Linked DNA regions of Caenorhabditis elegans. Changing the gene in region 1 together with any one later gene gives a genetic interaction. Each region holds a gene or a part of one and is shown in the gene's direction. Other genes may lie near its edges. The genes, in order: sma-6, cdc-25.1, efn-4 and pha-4.

Region 1 (5,188 bases):
CAAGAGACGTTTCATTTCATTCGGATTTTCTCGCATTTCGGCTTCTTCCGGCGGTGTAGTCATCACTTCGAAATCGTCTTCTTTGCATTTTAACATACTGCGTACGATGTTAATTTTTGATGAAAACGAAATAATCAAAAACTGATTTATTTTTTTCCAATCGTCAATATTTTTTCGTTTTGAAGTTCTTAGTTGGAATGTCACGGAATGAAATAGTGTGGCAGTAAAAATAATATTAGTTTCAAAACAATTCCCTTGCGTATTATTTATTGTCAGGAAAAAATATACATCATGAATCTTTTCCCATTCTTGTTGCCTTGGAGATTTCATTATTTTGTCGTCTTTTTTGGACTTCAATTTTATATTCTTGTTCCAGTACATTACATGTTTATATTCATAATGTGAGAACTTTTAAGCTTCATTGTGTTAAGCTGTAGTTTCAGAACTTTTTATACTTTCGCTTTTTGAAGCTTTCGGCAACCTTTGCCGGGACTGAACTTTCCAAAAACTCATAGAATCCTATAAAGTGTTTTTTTATTCTAAAACACTGGCACTGGTAATTAACTTAAGTATTCAAAACATTAGTTTCATTTTTTCTAAAATTTCTAGAAGCCCAGTATTGTGAATAAACTAAAGTGCCCTCAAAACGTATCATACTATTACAAAATTGATATTTCCGATAAGTGCTCAGAACTCTTTAAAAAATAATATTTGTCGAGTCCCCAGTAAACTATTAATATTTTATAAGTTGGGAACAACAAAGAAGGAAATGTAGAATCAGATTTTCATTGTCAAATAAATATCATTTTTGAATGACCAAAACTCAAAGCTTGTTTCAGATTTTTCAATATTTTCAGTTTTGGCAAATTTCCAAATTTTTAAATACTTCGGAATTCTTGCAAATTTTTGAGCTCTTCTTTGATCAAAAGTAGGATTATTGGTCGACTTTCAAAATTATGATAGGCGAAGCAATATTGTAACTTGTTATTTTGTTACTTTCCCTATTATGATTATTTTCCCCTGTGTTTGCCAAATTTTCCAAAAAAGTAAATTTTTAAGAAATTTCAAACGGTAAACCCCTACAACATTTGAATACAAAAAAATAAAACTCGTAGATTTTTTTTTGCCGACTTCTAGTTCTTCACTAATTTGTGACTATACATAAAAAATTTCAGTTTTTTTTGGTGTTACTATGGTATTGGGACATTTTTGCACTATAAGCATGGTTTCATGATATTTTCTTACTGACGATTTTAATTGTAGTACTATAAAAATTTGTCGTGCCCTTCCGAATCTTGTATTCATCCGGTGCCCAAAAATCGCTAAACTTCAAACGATAGAAACAATGAATAGATATTGAAAAAAAGAAACACCTGGTGCAACCCTCTTTTACATAAATCTAATCCATCTATTTTTCTCAGAAAAATGGCGCCACGCCATTTAATGACCCCGTCATTTTATGGGGTGGCGCGACAGAAAGGCGCCGCACTTCTACCTATTCTCCGGTCATACATATATCCATTTTGGCGCAACTTTTCCGTTCAGATCATTAGTATCATTAGGCGGACAAGTTGTCAAAAAGAACATTAAGTGAATGATGAGATAGTTAAGAGAGATAGTGTACTGATAGAAGAGGCCGTAGATTGAAATATTGTACGAAACGGAGAGGAAACTCGGCAAACAGTCTTTTCATCTCTACCTCTGTCTTTACTCGTTCTATTTTCATGTTTTTCGCAACTGACTTCATTAACAATATATTTTAATCAATTTATTTGCAAATTTCAGATTTAATGAACATCACCTTTATATTTATTCTCATTTTCGGATTTTTCAATACTCAAAAATGCTCAAAAGACTATGATCACTTTGACGATGAAGACTTAGCGTTGAGCATTCCAAAAAATGCAATAGGAGTTCCAAAGGAGTTCAGGTACATGAGTTTTTATATTTTATCAAAAATTCAGTTTTTCTTATCAGGCAACAAGTTTTAAAAGAGATGAAGCTTCGGAACAGACCCAATGATATTTTGAAAAATCGATGTTATTGCAATTATGATCAGTCGATATGTGGAAATAATATGACATGTGTGAAACAAGATGGAGCTGCTTGTTATCATGCCGTTGAAGAGGTAAAATTAACTTGTAGCTCTTGAAAGTTTCCGTTTTATTTTTTGGAATATTTTTACACCATGGAGGTTAGCAACATATGATCTAGGCGTTACCAGTTTTTTAATGAATGGATTTTTCTCATTTCTTGAAACTGACAAATTATAATAATTTTTTTTTTTTGAAAAATCGATGTTATTGCAATTATGATTATTTTCAAAATTATAAAAATAAATTTTAGGTTTATAACAAAGCTGAAAAACGAATGGAAACTCTTCATAAATGGGGATGTGCAACACTGGAAAGAGGAAGTGGAGCTTCACATTTGACGGTGTTTCATCGAGTTTTTTGAAATATTTCACCAGGTGTTTTTCAGTGTAATTCTTGGAGAGCAGCTCACCATTCTCCTAAAAGTATTGGTTGTTGCTATGAAGGTAACTATTGCAATAAGAATTTGATTCCGCCGGCATATGTTCATCATCACAAGGGTGAGTTTTTTTTTAATTTAAATTTTTTAACAGGGACTATTCAGAGAAAGCACTTCAAGAGAAAACTGACAATCCAGAAGACTATGATTCTCCACTGGAAAACATGACACGTGGAGGAAAAATGTTCATAATGGTATTTGCAACAGTCATGTCGGTTTTTGCAGTCATTGGATGTATTTATTTATGTATTACAAGAGCAGGTGAGACAGTTTTTAAATTACTAAATTGATATTTTGTTTCAGAAGAAAAATCTAAAGCCAGAGCCAGAGCCAAGACGGTGTCTCTGAAAACAGAATCAACATACATGGAGAGCAAATCAATGCTCGAAGACTCAGGGTTCGTTTTTATTTCCTAGAGTATTTGCGATATAGAGATATCATACCCATTATTTTGAAAGTGATGTTTTTAACAAATACAATTTTCAGAAGTGGTTCTGGGCAGGCTGCGTTGATCCAAAGGACAGTGAGACAAGATTTAACAATTATTAAAACAATTGGACAGGGAAGGTAAAATTAATTCTTATTTTAATCTTTGTTGCCTATATTTTTTAGATATGGAGAAGTTCGCAAAGCTCTGTATCGTGGAAGTTACGTGGCTGTAAAAACATTCTACACAACTGATGAAGATTCATGGAAAAATGAAAGAGATGTATATCAAACTAACATGATCAATCATGAAAATATCCTTCGTAAGCTATTTCAGTAAAATTACTTTGAATTTCAAGAATTGTTTCAGAATTCGTGGCGGCTGATATTTGGAGTGAGGAAGATTCAATGACAAAGATGCTTCTTATCACTGATTATCATGAACTGGGATCTTTATCAGATTATCTTTGCCGTGAAGAAACATTGACAACAGATGAAGCTCTTCGACTTATTCACAGTTGTATATGTGGTATTGAACATCTACATGCAGCTGTACACGGAACTGGAAGCTTTAGAAAACCTGAAATTGCACATCGAGATATTAAATCAAAGAATATTATAGTCAAACGACCAAATGTGTGTTGTATCGCTGATTTGGGTTTGGCACTACGATAGTGAGTTATTTCAAATGATGCATCTGAAAACCAAAGATTTAGTTGTTCTGAAATTTAGAAAGAATAATGTTTTCAGTCAAAACGACAAAATTCTCCCTGAAAAATTCAATGTTCAAGTTGGAACAAAACGATATATGGCTCCAGAACTGATATCAAACAAGTTGAATCCAAAAGATTTTTCTCAGTTCAAGATGGCAGATATCTACTCAATGGCACTTGTTATGTGGGAAGTTGCAATCAGGGTTGAGGTATGATTATTCAATGAGTTTAAAATAAAGGCCATGATTGTAGGTAAACACCTGTGAGGAAGTGTTAACTGTCGATGAGACCTCTCCTGATCACAGTGCATCAAGTGGTATCGGAGAGTCAGTTAGTTCATCTGGTAATATATCGAGAATGCATCTACAAAAAACAAATGTAGAAGGACATTCTACATCTCTGAAAGCAAAACAACATGTCCCACCATTCGATGGAATCGTGCACAATGATCCCAATTTTGACGAGATGAACGATGTAATTTGTGTACGTCGAATACGTCCACCACCGGATCTTGCCTGGAAAAACGTCCCAGCACTTAATGAATTGAGCAAGTTGATGGAAGACAGTTGGCATTCAATTCCACACTTCCGACATTCTGCTCTTAAATTGAAAAAAGAAATGGCTGAGTTGATCAAAAACCCCGACAGACAGGTAATTCAACACGTTAAGGAGCTATATCTAACTCTATGTTTTCAGAATCAATCGCAGCGTAAAGTTGAATTCCAACAGCAAGACAGTGGCCTTGTTGAGTCAGCCACCAATCAATCTTAACCCACTTTCTGATCTTACTTTCGTTGTACCAAAATTTTTGGCTTCTTTAAAATCAATTTTACTTTTTCAGTTTTGTTCATATTTCCACAACGGTCAAAATTTAAAGCGATCTCTCTAATAATTTCCCATCAATTTTTTAATTGTGCAACTCTTATGAACTTGTTCTCATCTCGATTTACTGCAATTTTTGTGAATAAACATTGTTCCAGACCTGTACGTTCGTGTTGTAATTATGCGACATTATTGTCCATCATTGCCTAATATTTCCTTGATAGATTGCCGATAAGACAAATTCTTAACTTGCGCTCCCTGTGGCAGAAGACGGAGCAAACAAAATTATCAGCTCAACCATGTTTAAATGTACGTTTATTATCTCTCTATCTGAATCTATCTGGATTGGTGTGCACTGCATTTGTGAGCAAATATAGGCATACTTGTACGTGGTTTGATAAGATAATACTGCACCGTTAGACAACTCTTTTGGGTGAAACAAAAGGGAGACAACTGCAAGTTGCATCAGTTGGAACAATGAAACATTAATTCGTTAAAACACAAAGCACATCTGATATCATTTTCACAATTTATTTCGTTTATCACATATTTTAGAAGATCATCCTTTTGTAAAGTTAAAAGTGGATTCATGATATTTTAATTTTGACAAATCTCGACTAGAAAATTTTTAAGGATATCAAATATTTCAAGAAATTTCTGCACTGCAAGTTACGGCAAAATGTCCATCTGTCTGG
Region 2 (4,650 bases), on another chromosome or scaffold:
GTTTTGTATTTCCGTAATCCATCATATTACATTGACCACTTTCACCGCTACTTACCGACTCAATACACAATTTTTCACTTGGAAATTGTTTTAGCATCTGCAAAAAATATTTATTTATTAGTTTTAATAAGAAAAACGGGAAAAAATGGTGCAAAACAAAAGAAAACACGCGGAAAACAAAGCAACATAAATGGCCGCTGAAATTTGTCGGGGACTCGACCATGGCCTAGAAACCTTTTTGCCTCGTCCCTCGTGAGGAAAAAGTTGCAGTGTCTCGCTGGAGCTTGGCATTCTGAAAAACCAAAACAATAGTGTTATGAAAGCTGTAATTCAAGAGTGGTTACACGTTCAAAAACTGACAATTTTCATGATTATCCAAGAACGCCAAAAGGTGGTTGTGGTCAGGATAACAGCTAACAAGAGCTGGTTTGAAGACATAATATAGAAATATGGAGCGGAAAAATAGAAAGAATGTTACAATCGTAAACGATGCATTTCAAGGCAATCATTGTGATAAATAGAAAAAGTGCTACGAGCAACAAGAAAGGAACGGTATAAAGAGAAAGGTATGAGTTCTCGTACAAACACAAACTGACAAAAAACTAAAACACTTAGGGTCTCGTATATTATGAGAAATTCTATTAGAATATGCATTTAAATTTATTAATTCAATTTAAAATAACAATCTGAAGGCTTCAACAAACCAAATTAAAGTTTTAAGGCTAAAATTATGAATAAATTAAAGGATGATTCATCATTTTGAATGAATTCAACTCAAAAAAAACATATGATTTACGACAAACAACACGCGGTACCGTTATATCGGAGTGTCATTGAAAACGCGAATTAAAATTGAAAAAAATTCAAACTTTGGAAACACTTTTACGCAAAAATACGGGGTGAGGCAAATACGCTTTATGGGAGGTTACTGTAGTTGGGCGGCTTTGGCCTAATTTCACTGACGGAAGCAGCTCTCCATTCTCCCAAAATTTACAATCAACAAATTTATTTCCATAATTTTTTATTGAAAATTTGATTGAATGTCAACTAAGTTCGTCTGTAAATGATTTCTAGACACATTGCCGTCCAGCATGTCTAAAAAGTGGCTTGTTCATGGGAGCTCTGAAATCTGATACCCGGAATGATGGGAAACTGAAAAAAAAATGGTATAACAGTGCAACAGAACATGATGAATACAGAAATTGGGTTTGCTGATTTCAAGATGATGATTGCGTTTTTTTTATGAGCAGTTTCTAAATACCAAAATAAAATTTCTTAATGAATAGATCAAACGAAAACTGGGCGCTAGAGCGCCAAAATTTCAAATCACAAATTATATCCTTCTTTTGATTAAATTTCAACTAAATAAGAATCTTTTGCCCAATTTTTTTCTAAATTTTCGAAGAGTCTAAATTCTTTTTCGATTAGGAAAAATTAAGCTCTTATTCATTCCTTTGTTGTCAATCACGGTCCTTTTTCCTCTTTTGTAACATAGGCTGCGTCTCTTCGTGTGGTCAATCTCTCTCCGCGTTTCTGGCCAAATAATTTTACTTCTAAATTCAAATGTTGGTATCTCCTATAATTTTTAGTTGAGGGCTGTGCATCTCTGATGGCTACCACCGGGGAAAAAGCAATATATGAGGATCAAAATAATGTAAATATCATCGAGAATGTGGTTGATGTGGCAAACGGTATCAACGAATCACCGAAAACCTTATTTGAAGAAGATGGCAGCTCCCGCGATTCTGGTTTGTCATGTAAATGGAAGGCTTAATTAATATTTGTTTCTTATTCAGGTGTCTCAATGACTAGCTGTAGCGACAAATCAGATGCATCACCCGAGGAAGATGTGGATTTTAGCAAACTGGAATCTGGTCGTGTAGCCCTCACAGACTGTTCCAATTTCGTTTCAATTTTACAACGAAACTCGTCTGTCAGCTCATCACGCAGCTCTTCTTTGTATATTCCCATCATGCGACTTCCAAAAAAAAACAATTTTCAGCTACAACTATGATACACCAACAGGGCGTAAGATGAAGACGGTGTTTGATTTGGATTCTCTCGATCACTCAGAATATGAGAAAAGAGTTATGAGCGAGAGACCAACGGATAATCATCGGAAAAGAACTTCCAGTTCAATGTCTCCCAGCGTCACGCTCCTGGATCGCAAGAGAAGCCGGAATTTGTCTCTTGTTGCTCCACAGAGTGACAAATCTTGTCGCTATAATGGTCTCAATAACCCGAGGGATGATCCATTCGGTGATGAAGACGATGAGGTCTTTGAGCAGAGCAACGTCAGAAACTCTCAAGTTCAGAATACATCAATTTTCGCTCAACCTGCCCCACGAACAGCAACTTCGTTATGGGATTTGGCACCGCCGATGTTTTTTGAACGAAAAACTTCCGATACGTCAGGCAACGGATCTTTCCAGGAGAGACCAAAACAAATTTTGCGTGCGATGAGCGTTGGTGAGATTGATTCTGAACTTCCTCCAACGTTAGAAGTGGTATACTTTTTCGATTATTTTTTGAAGTTATCCAGAAAATTACTTTTTAGAAGTACACTCTTCCCGGTGTTGATAATCCACAGAGAGAGTCACAAGCATTCCGGAGTATCTCACCTACTACTTTACTCTTGGAATTTCAACGTCTTGGAGATGATTTCGATAAGAAATACATTATAGTCGACTGTCGTTTTCCATTTGAGTACAAGGGTGGTCATGTGAAAGGAGCTATCAATTTGTTTCGTCATGACAAGATCAAGCCAATATTTTTCCCAGAAAACGGCGAAGCCAGTTCTTTTCAAAATCGTGTTCCGATCTTCTATTGCGAATACAGTCAGAAACGGGGGCCAACAATGTCGGTGGTATTTCTTTATTTATTTTATAAAATATCTGATTTTTAGGGCTCATGCTGTACGTTCTATTGACCGCGTGTTGAATGAACTTCGTTATCCACATGTCGAATATCCGGAAATGTATTTGTTGGACTATGGCTATAAATCGTTGTGGAGTACTGCTGAATGTCGTCAGATATGTGAGCCATGTTCTTACATTCCAATGACACACAGTTCATTTTCGATGGAATTTAAATCGGCTCGTCTCGAACGGCATCATTCAATGGCTTCGTTGAAACCTAATGGAGAAACCAGTCATCGCGAGGAAAAGAAGAAAAGATGTACTCGTAGTGTAATTCGAAGAAATAATTCTTCTTTGAACGTTAGTTTAAAATCGTCTTCAATTCAACTTTACTAATTTTAGATGTTATCAAGGTCGTCTAGTGCTTTAACCTCTACTGGAAGCAAGACAAGCAGCATGGAGAATATTCTTTATGGTTTGGATGATGAGAGACGACCCAAATGGGTTTCTGCGTTCGATATTCAAAGCACGGAATCGGAGGTAAATACTGTCATTAAAAATTTCAGTATAATTTTTTCATTTTGCAGAATGATTTAGATGCAGCTCTTATCTATCAGCGCAATATAAGTTCAAATGCTTCAAATGCGTCTTCCATAGTCAACCTAGCTGAAGAGCGCATTGTTCAACTTGGGCTCCAGGTGATCACACCGGATTTCCCAGATCGCCCGTCAGAATCATCGTCAACCACACCAGCAGGAGAACATCTCCCACTCGGGGAAGGGGGTCATCAGATTCCTTGTGGAATTCTTGACTTCTCATCGATTTCTGACGACGCCGAATAATAGCACCCTCTCTCCCATTACTTTTATTTATCATTCTGTTTAAACTTTGTTAATTTTCATCCCATCTTTTTCTTAACTTATTTTCCGTTTCTCGTTTCTTTTTCTATTTTGAGTCACACTTTGCAGGTCTCCGTTTCGACTGGTTCCTCTTCTACCAACCCATTCTTTTAAATCAGTCCCTTCTTGGTCTCTAAGCAATGTGGCTTCATTGCAATACGCTTCCAAGACTGAAGGGTTTTTTTTTTAACTCACGCCTTATGCCTAGGTCATCTATCTAATAGTTGTCAAACAAACTACTCAGTCACTGAGGATCTTTAACTCTCTAAATCACTTTCGCCATTCCCAACCACGCATTTACTGTACCATGACTTTCATTCTTTTGATCATTTTTATTTTCTTTCAAAATGAAGCCCCCTAGCACACTGTACATATTTATCAAATTTCATTCATTTTTCTTATGCGTTCACATTAATCTCAGCATTTCCTTCCAATCCAAATTGCTCTTCGGAAGCAGAGATTGGCACGTCATATGCTCCAAGAACACCGTAAACCAAGCACTTTGCAGAGATGGTGAGACCAACGAGAATGGCAGAATACAAGTTCACATTTGCACGGCTCTGATCACGACTAGCCAATTGAATGGGAATCAAAGCGGCAAGAGTGTAGAATCCAGTCAGTACAAAATAAACAGGTGTCAATGCTCCTTCAACAGCTCCAAGTGTGGAGTGAATCAGAATTGAGGTGGCCACAGTGGTTGAGAGTGAAGATGCCCGAGCTAAAATTACTTTTTTTGTATTTTCTAACGCAAGCAACTTACAAGTCGGGTTCATCACTGCAATAATGAACGAGGATGCAATAGTAGAAAGGGCAACGAATGGTTCAGCCGAAATCAAGACGTGTGACAATGCGGATCCAGTGAGAACTCCCTGTACAGTTGTTGCAATAACCAA
Region 3 (4,847 bases), on another chromosome or scaffold:
AATTTGTGAAAATTCTAGACCATTATAGAAAATCAATTGAAATACAGAAAAAAAATTTTTGAAAATTTTTAGCAAATTCTGGAAAATTCTCCAAAATCCATGAAAATATGGTACTTGTGTATTATACCCCCGCCATTTTATAAATTAATTTTTTAACTTTTTAAATAAAAACGTGTGGAATTTTAGGCTTAAAATTAGGAAAACACTATTCCTAAAGTATAATACACAAGTACCGAAAATATCAATTCGTTTTAATCCTTGGAAAATTTTCTGAAATTCTAGGCAGTGCTCTAAAATTTTAGGAAGTTTTGAAACTTTGGGAAACTTGAAAATCCTAACAAATTATTCCAAAATTCCTGGAAATTCCAGAAATTTCTGGAAAATTTTTGGAAATTATAAAAATGTCTTAAAGTATTTTGAAAATCCTTCTGAAAAACATGAAAACCCTTGAAAATTCTAGTAAATGCTAAAAAAATATGCTCAAAAATTTTCAGAACTTTTCAAAAAGTTCTTGGAAGTTTTTGAAAGTTCTGGAAAATTCTTGAAAAATTCTTTCAATTTTTTTTAAACCTGTAAAAATTTCAGGTAATCCTATGAAATCATTGAAAATTCTCTAAAATTTTTAAAAATTCTCAGAAAATCTAGAACTTTCTAAAAAGTTTTTTGGAAGTTCTTGAACATTTTAATGCCCACCTTCCCGATGCCTGCGTGCCTGCCTACCTTGTACCTGCCTACCTACCTATGACCTATTTTCTACATTTTTAAAGATACAATTTTCAAGAAAATTTGTAATTTCCCACCTATTTTTTTTTGAAATTGGAAAATGAGAAATCCTTTTTCTTGTGAATAAATGAATATTGAATTTGATTTGAAAAATAAATTTCTAGTAAATTTGGCGCAAAATTTGAAATTTTAATTTTTACAGAATTACATTTATTGGCGCAAATTTTGTAAATTTCCAAAATTATATAGTTTTACCAAAATTTCAATTTTTCAAAAACTATTGCCATAAAAATTTTGCCGCAAAAAGCAGAATTTAAATTCTTCTTTATCAAAAAAAAAAACTAATTTTTAACGCAGAAGGGTTAGCTATTTTGATCCCACAAAGTACAAAAAAATGCCACAAAAATACTAGAACTTTCTGGAAAGATCTGGAAAAATTCGTTCAAAAATTTTTCTAAAATTCTCAGAAAATCTAGAACTTTTAAAAAAATTCTTGAAAATATCCAACTTTTTCCCTCCCCTTCCAACTTACCCTATTCCCCGTTTGATTAGCTCTCAACTCTTCTCACGACTTAATTGCTGCCATTTCATTTCTCAAAAAAAAAAAAAAAGTCATGCTCTTCTACTTCTACTGCTCGTCTTCATCCAGCTCATCCTCATTTTAATAGGCTCTTTTTCCGGAGGAGACGGTCCTGTTGGCTTCTCACTCACTTCTCATATTTCAATCCTCTACTTCTTCTTGCCTTTTCCCGCCCCGACGACACCCGTCCCAACAGATGCCCCCCCCCCCCCCGTCTTATTTCCCTGTAAGTCCCGCCTTCTCCGCCACCACCTTCATTTTCTCTGCGCGCTCTCCGGAGACGCGTGTCTCCTACTGCATAGTAGTGGTCAGTTCACCCCCTTTTCATCAAATGTGTGTGCACACAAACATTTAGACTTTAGACCTATTTTCATCTTACCTGTTCATTTTTGTGCCTTACTCAATTTTTCCGATGCTATCTTACTTTTCTTTTTAAAAATTTTTCACTTATTTTTTAGTTTGTTCCTACACCCAATTTTCTATATTTTTCAATTTTCAGCAATATGAAACAATTCTTCGAATTTTTAATAACAACATTTTTGCTACTCGGACTGGCCGCTGCAGACGAGCACATTGTCTACTGGAACTCTACAAATTCACTGTAAGTCTACATTTAATAGTACGATTCCCGCGCTCGCGGTAACCTATTATCTTATCAAGTTGAGCAAACAGTAATCAGGGGTGAAACGTTCGAAACTACTTATTGTTTGGTTCTCGCCGATAAGGCTCCGCAGATGCTCGAAAACTCCAGGGCTCTTCATCTTATAAATTGTAAATGTGACGGGAGGAGGGAGTCGTTATCTCGGATGCATTGTTTTGCCGCATACACCGGACCCCCACTAGAAATTCTTTAATGGAGAGAGGTGCTTGGTACACCTGCTTCTCAAATTCACCTTGTTTACCCATGTCCGTCTTTTAGAATTTGAAAGGAGCGAGGGTGATTTGAGATTTGAATTGATTTTAGACTTTAGCAGTTGAGCAATTTTTCTTAGCCGTTTTTTCGTTTTTACTCCATTAGGTATGCAAATCTCGCTTGTTTTAACTTTTTTCAAAAAAGTTTTAAATAGGAAAGTACGCGCTAAGTATTTTTCTACATTTTTGTAGTAGAAAATGTTTTGATAAATTTGAAACCAAGTGAGATTTACAACGTCAAAGTAAAGCCAAGGAGTCGGGCAGCGCTCCACTTTGACAGCTTATATCTCGGTTCTTTTTGATTTTATCAAAAAACGGTTAACTAAAAAAATATGCAAAAAATATTTTTCTACATTTTCATAGTAAAACACTTTTTGATAAAACAAAAGACAACTGAGATATACGTCTTCAATTTCGGAAAATAGTTTGAGGGTGTAAAGGAAATTACGTTACTTCCCTAAGACTTTAGAAGTAGTCGACCTCCCCGTACACCCGTCTTTCTTTTCAATACTTGCTGATCATTTTAACGGTATGCGAACCCGCGTGCTATTTGCATAACAATGCGCACTGTGGAGGTCGGTGTCACTTTTTTTTGTCAGGTGTCAACTCGAGAGTTAACTAGGTGTGTCGCCCAATTTTATGGAATAATGGAGTTTCCCAGAATATTGAGCGTTCAAGATTTTGCTAGATTAGCACACCATACTATGGTAATTATCGATGACATACTGAGATAAGTCACCTAGCCCCCGTACCGGATGTGTGTGTGTGTGTGTGTGTGTGTGTGTGCATGGTCAAGATTTACTTGGAGTAATATCAATATACTGCTCATACTTGAGCATTGTGTTTGCTCATTGGTTTTTTTTCGAGGGGCTTAAGATGGTGTGTACGTTATGCAACTCAGGTGTGGAAATACGAGAAGAGGGTCCTCTCTCTTTCTCTCTCAGGGTGGTCTATATGTGTATGTACTAGACATATTTGATGCGATTAAAAGTAGGTCTACGACGACGACGACGAAAATTGCTCCTCTACTCCTTGCTCTCTTCTCGGTTTCACTTTTTGAAGAGCATTCCCATTTCCGGCTTTCTGTTATTGGATGGGTGGTCCCAACGATGACATTTTTAGTAGGGTCAATGCACTTGACATCTTCTGTACGCCGTTTTCGATCTGACCTCCTGATTCAGAATTTATCGTTCGTCGTCTTCTGGGCCCAGGCGGCGTATGATTTACGGTCGCGCCGCTCCCCCGCCCTTATCCTTGTAATAATCTGCTGAGGTATAACCTTAGGTTGTGGTTTTTCGAAAATTTTCTGCGCGTGGTGCATATGTTCCATATCGGGTGTGTCTTATGATTACGTCATCACCAAAAGAGTTTTGTTTAGCAAGTCGGAAGTCTTGAAAGGGGGCTCCACGCAACACACTCATTACCGCACACAGTGGCTATTGATACTACTTTTTTGGCCAGGACATGCAAACGAGACAAAGACCACCTAAAACTCTTAGGTAAAAAACACCTGTTTCACCTACATTTTTGGAGGCTATCTTCCTGATCGGGACTTTTGACTTTGCCGACGATACACGCCGTCGTCGTCGTCGCACATCATTAAAAGATGGTAATAGCCGCGGCGGTTTGATGGGATCGCTTAGAAGGTGTGAGATGATCACAAACTTTCCCCCTAGAACACCTGTGATGGATTTGTTGAGATTTAAAAGATACTAGGGGGGGGGGGGGGTTCTCATACCTAAAGATTGTGTAGTAAATTTGCATATGAGTAGGAGTAGGATACTGAATGCAAATCTACATTCTTTTGTTATTGGGACTCTTGGAAGGACGCGAAAGTCTATGTGCGCGCGCGCAAGGATGACGGTCCACCAAGATTTACAGGCACCCCGGTGCACACTTCTTTTGAAAGGTGCCGCCGGCCAATAGATTTGTCTCCCCTCCGTTACAATAATAATAATAATAAAGACCGAGGGCCTTCCTGATGAAGATGATTATATCGTTCTTCATGGGTTAATCTGAAAATTAGAAGAGTCCCCCACCATGACCCATCTGTGCAGGTTTTTTTACGCAATCGGTGCTTTCAATGACCGCATGCAAATTAGTAATTAGTACTTGATATACCCCATTTTAATGAAGTATGACAGGGGGAGAAAGAACAGCCAATTAAACTGATATTCATCTGGTCTGAAGGTTCAAAAGCAGAGTCTCTAAATTGAATTGAATTGACAGCAGAAGCCTGTTGACTGTTGACACCAACTGGCTGGCATATGTTTTTTTTTGCCTCATTCTCTCCCTCAATGTCCCATCTTCCATATTCAACACGATGTCCAATATCCGCGAAAGCACACACACACACAAACATATCCGTCGTTTGAATGAGCAATCACGTACATTTTGTACGTTTCAATTTATCTAAAACGCAGAGGAGCTCAAGGAGCTCAGGGCTAAAGGCTCAGGGCTCAGGGCTGCTCCACGCATTACTAAATCAAAAAGAAAAGGGGGCAAGTGTTATATCCAATGCAAATTACTTCTTGACTTTAACTTGTGTGTTGCAAGACTTGTACCTTTCAAGTTGTCATGGGAATGAATATGTGGACTAATGAAGCTGCTTTTGATACGGGACTAGATAATC
Region 4 (7,975 bases), on another chromosome or scaffold:
ATAGATATTAAAGTGTTGGGTAGAATGGGAAAGACAAATAATGATTGGATGTAAAGATTTCCAAAAACTTTATTAATGCATTTATATAAAAGTTATAGTCATTTCTTATCAGAAAAACTATACCATGGCCCTTGATAAGAAAGATTAGATTTTTAGCCCGCCAATAGGACTATCATAACTGCGTTCATGTTGTTCACATGCATTATATCTGTAAATCGCACATGGGTGCGACTACTTAACCGGACAATAGGTCTCTATAGGTCTCTGAAAGTGAATACAGAGGTGCTGAGAATAAGATCATACAGCTGGCTGTATTAATATCTGGGAAAATCATAATTTTTTGGATTTTTAAATCAAAAAAAAAAAAGATTGGTAATCCCTATTCCCCTTAACAAAGAAACGATAGCAAAGGCCTAAAGAATAGTGTTACAAAAGATTCTACCGACGATGAGCTATGCGGAAAGCGGAACCATTAAACTTTTGTCAAAAGGTGATAATGGACCATCTAACTTATTGGTCACTTTCCTGTCTTTGTAACTATTATGTTGATAACCCTCATTATCAGTGCCCTTGATGGACGGAGCAACGAGAGGGCAATGCTGTGAACGTCTCTTTTGATACAGTAACTATCCATTGGGAGATTAGTCATTCCTGAACCTAATACTAGTTTCGGATGCTTGGGTGTGGTATGCAATGAAAAATCAATGAGACGGAACTTGAACTCTGTTTTTTGTGAATCGTTGAAATGATTCACCTGTTCCAAGTTATTTTTGGGAGTATTAGCGTCTCATTGATTTAACTTTCTTATTGCTTTTTTTTGATTTACAGTAATTATTATACCAGTATTGAACACTTTAATAGTCTCGCACAGACTTGTTACCAGATGTACCGTATCTATTAATTAAAAAAAATAAATCGGAACGATTTGAAATTTTGAAAATTGTGAAAATTTTAATTTTCGTGCCTAAAACAGCATCAAGCAAATTTTTTGTCAAAGCTTGATTCTTTTTCTCAAGGTTTTCAAAAATTCAAAAGTTAGTACTGTGCCTTCAATAAAACTTGTAGTCTCTTAGTCTTACACACCAACGGACCAATGGACATTGTATGAATGACTGAAACAAAAAATATATTATACTTTTTTGTGATATCTTTTTAAATTGCCCTTTGTTAATACTACCTAATTCTTAACTGCTATTAACTGCTACACAACTAGCCTTATCTTGCTCCCATAACGTATCTAAATGTCGCGCGCGCGGCGTCCGTCCTCTTATGTATCTGTACCAGTCACAAAATTGTGTTGATGAAAAAGGCAAGAAGAAGAAGAATGGCAGTTGAGGGTGAGAAATTTATTTTTCCTATTGTCGTGGGGGAGATTGGACGGTTTCATTTTTTCAAATGAGATATTAAAACATGATTAGGAAGAGTTGAGATTAGCTGATTGTGAGCTTAATGATAGTTTTTGGAGTTCAATGTTAAACTTTCCATTTCTACACCACTATACGATTCTGGGTCACTAAACACCCTTGCTCAGACGGCTTTTCAAAGAAACACCATCTCCCCTCTCCACCACCCTACGCCTGTACAAAATGACTCAAAAGGGCACCGCGCCCGCTCTCGGTCTCCGATCACTCAGTCTCTCTCTCTCCCTCCACAACCCAAAAAGGAGGCTTGCAGAAGTAGAGAAGCAGAGAGTGACGATCGCTGTCTCCAGGTGTCCGTGTCAAACTCTCTTATCAATCAGTGCTCTTTTTCTCTCGTGTTACTGCGTCTCTATGTCCATTCCCTTCTACTCATTCCCATACAGCCCCCTTCTACACCACCATCATCACCATCACACTGTCACAGTGTTGATAACGAAGAGTCGTATCAAGAGACCTAACAAAATCACCCAACCCCAGCCAATATTACCTTATACACCCTATCTGTCCACTGCGTATTTTTTGAAGGACTATCTAATTTGAGATACAATGACATCGCCATCCAGTGATGAGGACATTATTGATATAAGGGTAAGGCACCAGTTATTTTCTGCTTCATGCATCGTTTTTTTTTAAAATTGTTCGGGGCCTCTGAAAACGTTTTTGTTAGCTCCCGGCTGTATGCTCACTTTTTTCGAAATTAAAAACTTACAACCATCTTTGCCACACATGTTTAATCTATTTCTGCAGCTACCTTTCTATTTCTCTTCTGAAACAATCTGAAAATGAGCACCTTCTGTGTATAATAGCACATAAGTGCTCATTAACAGGGGATACTCGATGTCAATATGACCCGGCCAGGATGCTAGGTTGCCACCTATTATTGCTCCATTGGTATTCTGGGAAGATGCACATTTTGAGAATATCATGAACATCTGTGATTTGTCAGAAATAGTTTAGGTTATTGTTCAGCTTACCATATTTTCTTCAAACATCACTACAAACTTTTTTAATGACATTAAATACATTTTTTCTAAGTTCAATAGCTTTTTTGGAATTTGAATGTTAGTCATGAACTCTTAAAATATGCAAGGCTCAAAAAGTGAAATTGTTAAAACTTTCTTTTAAGATTTTTTTATCGATTCTCTTTTCGGAGAGATACAATGAAAATTTGATTCTCACGGTCCACGCACAAAGTTTTTTCTTCGTTTTGCTAGAAAAAATTTCTATGGAACAATTTGAACATGTTTTGAAACACTGTGGAAAATTAAAAGTTTTCATATTTCGATAATAAGAGCTCCCGAAAAAAATGCTCCAAAAACAAAACTCGGGCCATCCAAATATTTTTTGTTTCGATGGATGAAATGCGATATTCACCGAAGGGGCACCACCACCAGTGGCTCCGAAAGCTTCCACCCAAAAATGGGAGCCTCCTAGACGTATATTTTGTGCTCTTTTCTACTCTCTCGCTCCTCCTTCCCATGCAAATATTTGACAATTTCGCAGTGTGTATGTGATATCAGTTTTTGTTTGCCAATTGTTGTTTCTTTTATTTGCCATGTTCGTTTCACACGGTTTCAGTGATAAATATGTGATAAGCTTCAAGACGAACCTAATTTTTTTAGAACAAAATATGACGAAATGGGGTTCAAAAGTTTGGATTTACCATGGAAAATGTTTTTCTCACTTTACAATTACTATTCTTATAGACATGAATTTTCTTTTTCCTAAAAACGTCCCACACTTTTTGATTCTAATATACCTACACCTATTTTGAAATAATGAAATCATATCGAGTGAGTATTGATAAGAAACCTCTTCTTCCGCCTACACTGCTTTCTACTCTATTTTACGATTATTGATTATTTTGGAGAAGTGTATAAGATAATGAGTCAGCGCAGTTAATGCTCAATAATAACAGGTGCTAAAAAATAGGCGGCAGATGGATGATAGTCGTCTCAAGTTTTTTTACGATTTTGAATCACAGCTGGAAAAAACGACTGTTAGGGCGAACATCTGGACCCAGAAATATTCATTCAAAATTTGCTTGAAAGAACCATTCAAAATCGGACTAAAAACGGCGGCAATAGTAAAAGGAAATAGTTTTTAAAAAAAGGCGAATCGGCAAACTGCCGGTGCCGGATATCAGATTTGCCGGAAATGTTTAGAGGGATTTTTTCGTAAGACCGAAACACTTTGCCGGAAATTTTCAATTCCGGCAATTTGCCGATTTGCCGGAAAAATTGTTTGCCGCCCACCCCTGATTGATACCACGCCTCTTTTCAATCAATAATAAAAGTTTTAATAAAAATGTGAGAGGACCCATAGCGGTATTGATAAGGTGGTCTAAGAAAAGAAAAAAAATTAAGATTTCTCTTGTAGATTTTGTTGAAACATTCACATGTTTTTAAAAAAATAGCGATAGTTTTTTTTTTCAACTTCGCCGCCACGTAGTAAAACCCTCGCATCCCGAACCTATTTCCAACCCACTCTCATTTCGTCATCGTTCTTCAGCTCTTGAAATTGCCGTTTGTATCATTTGGTGCTATATATTGCATTTTTAAGAGATTTCCTTGCCGCTTTTCCTCTCATCAACCCTTAAGCTTTCGCCGAAATTGCCCCCGGACATATTTTCAATTTCTTCACATCTGAATCCTCCTCCCTCCTCTATCCCACTTGTATGTAATTCTATACCACACCACCTCATTCTTAGTATCCTAGTACGTGCTAGGCTAGGACACAAAATTGGGTCAAGTGGAAAAGAGATATTTTGGAAAATTCAATGAAAAATTTGAGAACTTTTTAACAATGAAAAAAATTAAACTATTTTGTTTGAAGGTCATCAAAGAGGAGCCAGAGTCGGAACCTGACTCTGAAGCCGAGCCAGCCACAACCACGAATTCAACGGATTCAGAAGATTCTGTGGAACAGGAAAATAAAAAGTTATTGGAAACCGAGAAGAATCGAAAACGCGAGCAGAAACATAAAATGTTGCCAAATGGAACCACTTCTGGGACCTCCGACACGGGAAATCAGGTGCCTGCCACGTCGTCGGCTGCTTCAAGTGTAGACTATACGGTAGGTATGGTGCGGCAAATTTGGTAGGGTGTCAAAAATAAAGTAATAATAATAATCGTCATTTTTAACCCAAGCTTATCAGAATAAAAAACCATATGGCTAGTTGTATAACCGTCTGGCGTATCTTTTTGATGATTAATTTTTTGAGTAGGTAAATGCACTGTGAGTCATTTAGTTTTTTTATTCTTCTGTTTAACTTGTTAGTTTCTGCAATAAGTTTTAAAATTTCAATTCGTTAATCAATTTTTTAAATCGAAAATATTTCTTTGAAATTCAATCCCAGATTCTGAGTATATCACCAAAATTTAGAATTGCGAAATATTTTGAGGTCCAATACGGCTCAACATTAAAATCAACCAAAAATTAAAGAGTGATAACCAAATAGGGATTATGTTCAAGACGCTGTGACACCAAGAAGTTGGCAAAAAAAATTTGATTTTAGCTGAAAATGGGCAAATTTTTTCTAGAACTTTGAACCGCCATAGCTTTTTTTTGAGAAATTTTTAAAACGTCTCATTATGAAATTCGGTAGTTTTGCGTCATTTTGGGTTAAAAAAGCAAAGTCTCAGATTTCGGTACTCCTCATTTAATAAAAATTCGATTTAAAATTGTAGCAGTTAGTTTTTTTTTTGTAAAATTTTTTAGAAAAGTAGCTAAAAAGTAGCAAAGTGATGGTGTCCAGAAGAAAATAGAAATTGTGAGGTCCTCCTACCAAAAGAAGAAGGGGCTGGGCGTCGTGTTGCCCAAGAAGCCAAATATTTATTCAATTTCTATTTATTTATCCGACGACGACGAGGAACCCCCCCCCCCCCCCCCCCCCCCCCCCCCACCGTCCACAAACACACACACAACCAAAATTAGAATTCTTAAAAAAGCACCACGTGGAGATTACAATTAGTGAAACACCTATACTATTTTCAGCCATGAGTCAGTTGAAATCTAAAACAAGGTAAAAATCCGAAATGGGCGGAGTCCGCGACGGGGTTACTGTGGCTAAGCGATAGGCGGTGCGCACGCGCATAGGAGGGCAAGGTAGGCGGAGTCCCGCTGCTCTAGTGCCTAGCCTCTCCTTCACCTCTCTTCTTCAGTACGGGGCGTTCTACTTACCTTTGAGCATCATCTTTTTAAGGAATTTCCAAGGCTCAGGTTCAGAGGTCAAACGGGACTTATTTGTTCATTTCCATGTCTAGCTCCACGTGTGGGGCTTCCGAATTTTCTAAATATTTGTTATTTGTTATAAACACACACACACACACACATTTTGTATTTATCTTTAAATATTTACATAATCCCAGACCTCAAAGCAAACTTTCAATTTTTTTCTTGCAGGCCATGAACGCTCAGGACTATCTGCCGACGTATTCTAATACTACGTTAAACTACCAACCATATCAGGTAAAAAGTTTGACCCTGTTCTCACTAATAAGTCTAATAACATCCATTCTACTTTCAGTACCAGACTGCTGCCAATGGACTTCTGAACTACAACAACTACAGCCAGTATGCCACTGCTAATCAGCTCGGATCGAACTACATCAGCCCAGCCAATTTCATGCAAGGAGGAGGAATTTCACCTCTTGGTAAGTTTTAAAATATCCCTAATTGTCTAAATACTAACTCTCACATACATAAAAACAGTATAGCATATAATTATTTTTAATACGGTTAAGACAATGCATGAATTTATATCTATAGACAATCCTGATTAAATAAATTATTGTGAGATACTCTTCACTCTGAAAGCTCTAAATATTTCCCAAGCACAAAATGAGTATCCATTATTCATTCATACCTACCTTGAGTGGCGCTCTCTATACACAATTTGTAATTTGATCTCATTCAGGTTTTACCACTGGCACCACCGGAGCCACCACAGCGGCCGCTTCCGTGGCCACGTCGTCCGCCTCAGCGGTCATCGGAAGAAGCAATGGACGATCAAGCTCGACGGTTGCTGCATCGCCAGCCGATAGGTCTTATTCTGGTGTAAGCGGAGGGCAAGGCCAAGAACTCACGATTCAGGAATTTGAAACTGTCACGGAAAAGATCAGAAGACATGGAACTTATGGACAATCGAAACCTCCATACTCTTACATTAGCTTAATTACTATGGCAATTCAAAAGTCTAATTCTAGACAATTGACATTGTCTGAAATCTACAATTGGATCATGGATTTGTTCCCTTACTATCAGAACAATCAACAAAGATGGCAAAACTCAATTCGCCACTCCCTCTCCTTCAATGATTGCTTTGTAAAGGTTGCCAGGTAAGAGTCTTGAAAATTAAAGTTTTTTCTGGACACGTTTTGTCCCGATAAAAAACTTCTTATTGTTTTCCCACAAAAACCATCATTTCCTATTATAATCGGAACCTATATAGTTTATCTCAAGGACTACCTTTTCTGCAGCGCCACATTTATTATACCGTGCGCCCAAGGGACACCCATTGATGCGTGAAGCTGTTGAAATGAGAAATTACCGGAGAGAGTGAGGGTGCGCGTTAGTGAAAAGATTTGACAAAAAATCTATATGGATGTTTTCCGGAAACGATTTACAAAGACTAAGTTTATAATTTTCAGGTCCCCTGACAAGCCTGGAAAGGGATCCTTCTGGACTCTTCACGAGCACTGTGGGAATATGTTTGAGAATGGATGCTACCTCCGTAGGCAGAAGAGATTCAAGGTCAAGGAACGTGAGCCATCGAGAAAGAAGAGAAATGCCAACTCCCAACAATTGCATCAACAACAACACATTCCAAAAATGGAAATCAAAGAAGAGGATCCAACATCCATCACGACCACATCATCACTTGGTGCTTATTCTCTGATCCCTCAAATTTCTACAAAGAAGGAGATCAAGGAAGAGCTGAAAGCTGTGCAAGATGCAACTGCAGCTGCTGCCAATCTTGGCCTAATTGACCCATCGGGAACGCCGTCGGCTGTTAATCACAGTCAACCTACTTCAGTGATCTCAAGTGTTGGCACACTAGGAACCACGCAAGCACAGGTAAGATAAAATCTAGCCAGTGAATACAATATTTCAAGCTCCCATTTTGAATTTTTTCAGATGACACTCAATGGTCAATACGCGTCTCCTTACCTCTACAGTTCGGATTTTGCCACAATTCTCCCACAATCCCAGAATTTCCTGAACAACACACTCTACAACACAACGAGCAGTTATCCAGGAATTGACTACACCAACGGAGTATACCAGAATACTCTTTACAGGTATGTCTGATGGTATAACTAACGATGTTTTGTTGACCCCCTACTAATTTTTTTCGTTTGTTTTCCTTGTTTAAAACACATCATTTATTTTCTACGGTCTCATGATTATTTTGAATGTTTTAGAAGTTAACAATAAATTTCAATTTAGTAAAAATTGGAGTCTGGTTCTACTCGGTCATAATAGTAAGATTTAAAAAAGTACTAACGAATTTGATAGTATTGGTTTTTATTATCAAGGAAAGTATTTCAACT

What was found.
Region 2: changes in sma-6 (region 1) and cdc-25.1 together harm fitness more than expected from each alone (negative genetic interaction), as found in Caenorhabditis elegans (one large-scale study listed by BioGRID).
Region 3: changes in sma-6 (region 1) and efn-4 together harm fitness more than expected from each alone (negative genetic interaction), as found in Caenorhabditis elegans (one large-scale study listed by BioGRID).
Region 4: changes in sma-6 (region 1) and pha-4 together harm fitness more than expected from each alone (negative genetic interaction), as found in Caenorhabditis elegans (one large-scale study listed by BioGRID).

Annotation. Positions count from the first base shown.
Region 1 is NC_003280.10:6,322,699-6,327,886, forward strand, and holds sma-6 (Serine/threonine-protein kinase receptor sma-6), read left to right. Parts: upstream 1-1,785; 5' UTR 1,786-1,790; coding exon 1,791-1,930; intron 1,931-1,977; coding exon 1,978-2,128; intron 2,129-2,346; coding exon 2,347-2,436; intron 2,437-2,481; coding exon 2,482-2,593; intron 2,594-2,637; coding exon 2,638-2,793; intron 2,794-2,835; coding exon 2,836-2,929; intron 2,930-3,018; coding exon 3,019-3,099; intron 3,100-3,144; coding exon 3,145-3,281; intron 3,282-3,328; coding exon 3,329-3,632; intron 3,633-3,708; coding exon 3,709-3,880; intron 3,881-3,923; coding exon 3,924-4,322; intron 4,323-4,367; coding exon 4,368-4,442; 3' UTR 4,443-4,657; downstream 4,658-5,188. Other genes in the region: C32D5.4 (uncharacterized protein), read right to left, coding at 1-381.
Region 2 is NC_003279.8:6,468,862-6,473,511, reverse strand, and holds cdc-25.1 (M-phase inducer phosphatase cdc-25.1), read left to right. Parts: upstream 1-1,589; 5' UTR 1,590-1,609; coding exon 1,610-1,748; intron 1,749-1,796; coding exon 1,797-1,959; intron 1,960-2,002; coding exon 2,003-2,507; intron 2,508-2,557; coding exon 2,558-2,859; intron 2,860-2,905; coding exon 2,906-3,218; intron 3,219-3,260; coding exon 3,261-3,398; intron 3,399-3,445; coding exon 3,446-3,700; 3' UTR 3,701-4,126; downstream 4,127-4,650. Other genes in the region: uad-2 (Chromo domain-containing protein), read right to left, coding at 235-291; K06A5.2 (DUF389 domain membrane protein), read right to left, coding at 4,156-4,475, 4,518-4,650.
Region 3 is NC_003282.8:557,432-562,278, forward strand, and holds the start of efn-4 (Ephrin-4), read left to right. Parts: upstream 1-1,802; 5' UTR 1,803-1,806; coding exon 1,807-1,904; intron 1,905-3,356; exon of another isoform or gene 3,357-3,494; intron 3,495-4,095; exon of another isoform or gene 4,096-4,217; intron 4,218-4,847. UniProt on the Caenorhabditis elegans protein: Regulates the formation or stabilization of cell-cell contacts at several stages of epithelial morphogenesis. In early embryonic development, involved in ventral closure of the epidermis.
Region 4 is NC_003283.11:20,751,085-20,759,059, forward strand, and holds the start of pha-4 (Defective pharyngeal development protein 4), read left to right. Parts: upstream 1-1,967; coding exon 1,968-2,009; intron 2,010-4,256; coding exon 4,257-4,496; intron 4,497-5,444; exon of another isoform or gene 5,445-5,653; intron 5,654-5,825; coding exon 5,826-5,891; intron 5,892-5,949; coding exon 5,950-6,076; intron 6,077-6,339; coding exon 6,340-6,760; intron 6,761-7,072; coding exon 7,073-7,499; intron 7,500-7,559; coding exon 7,560-7,723; intron 7,724-7,975.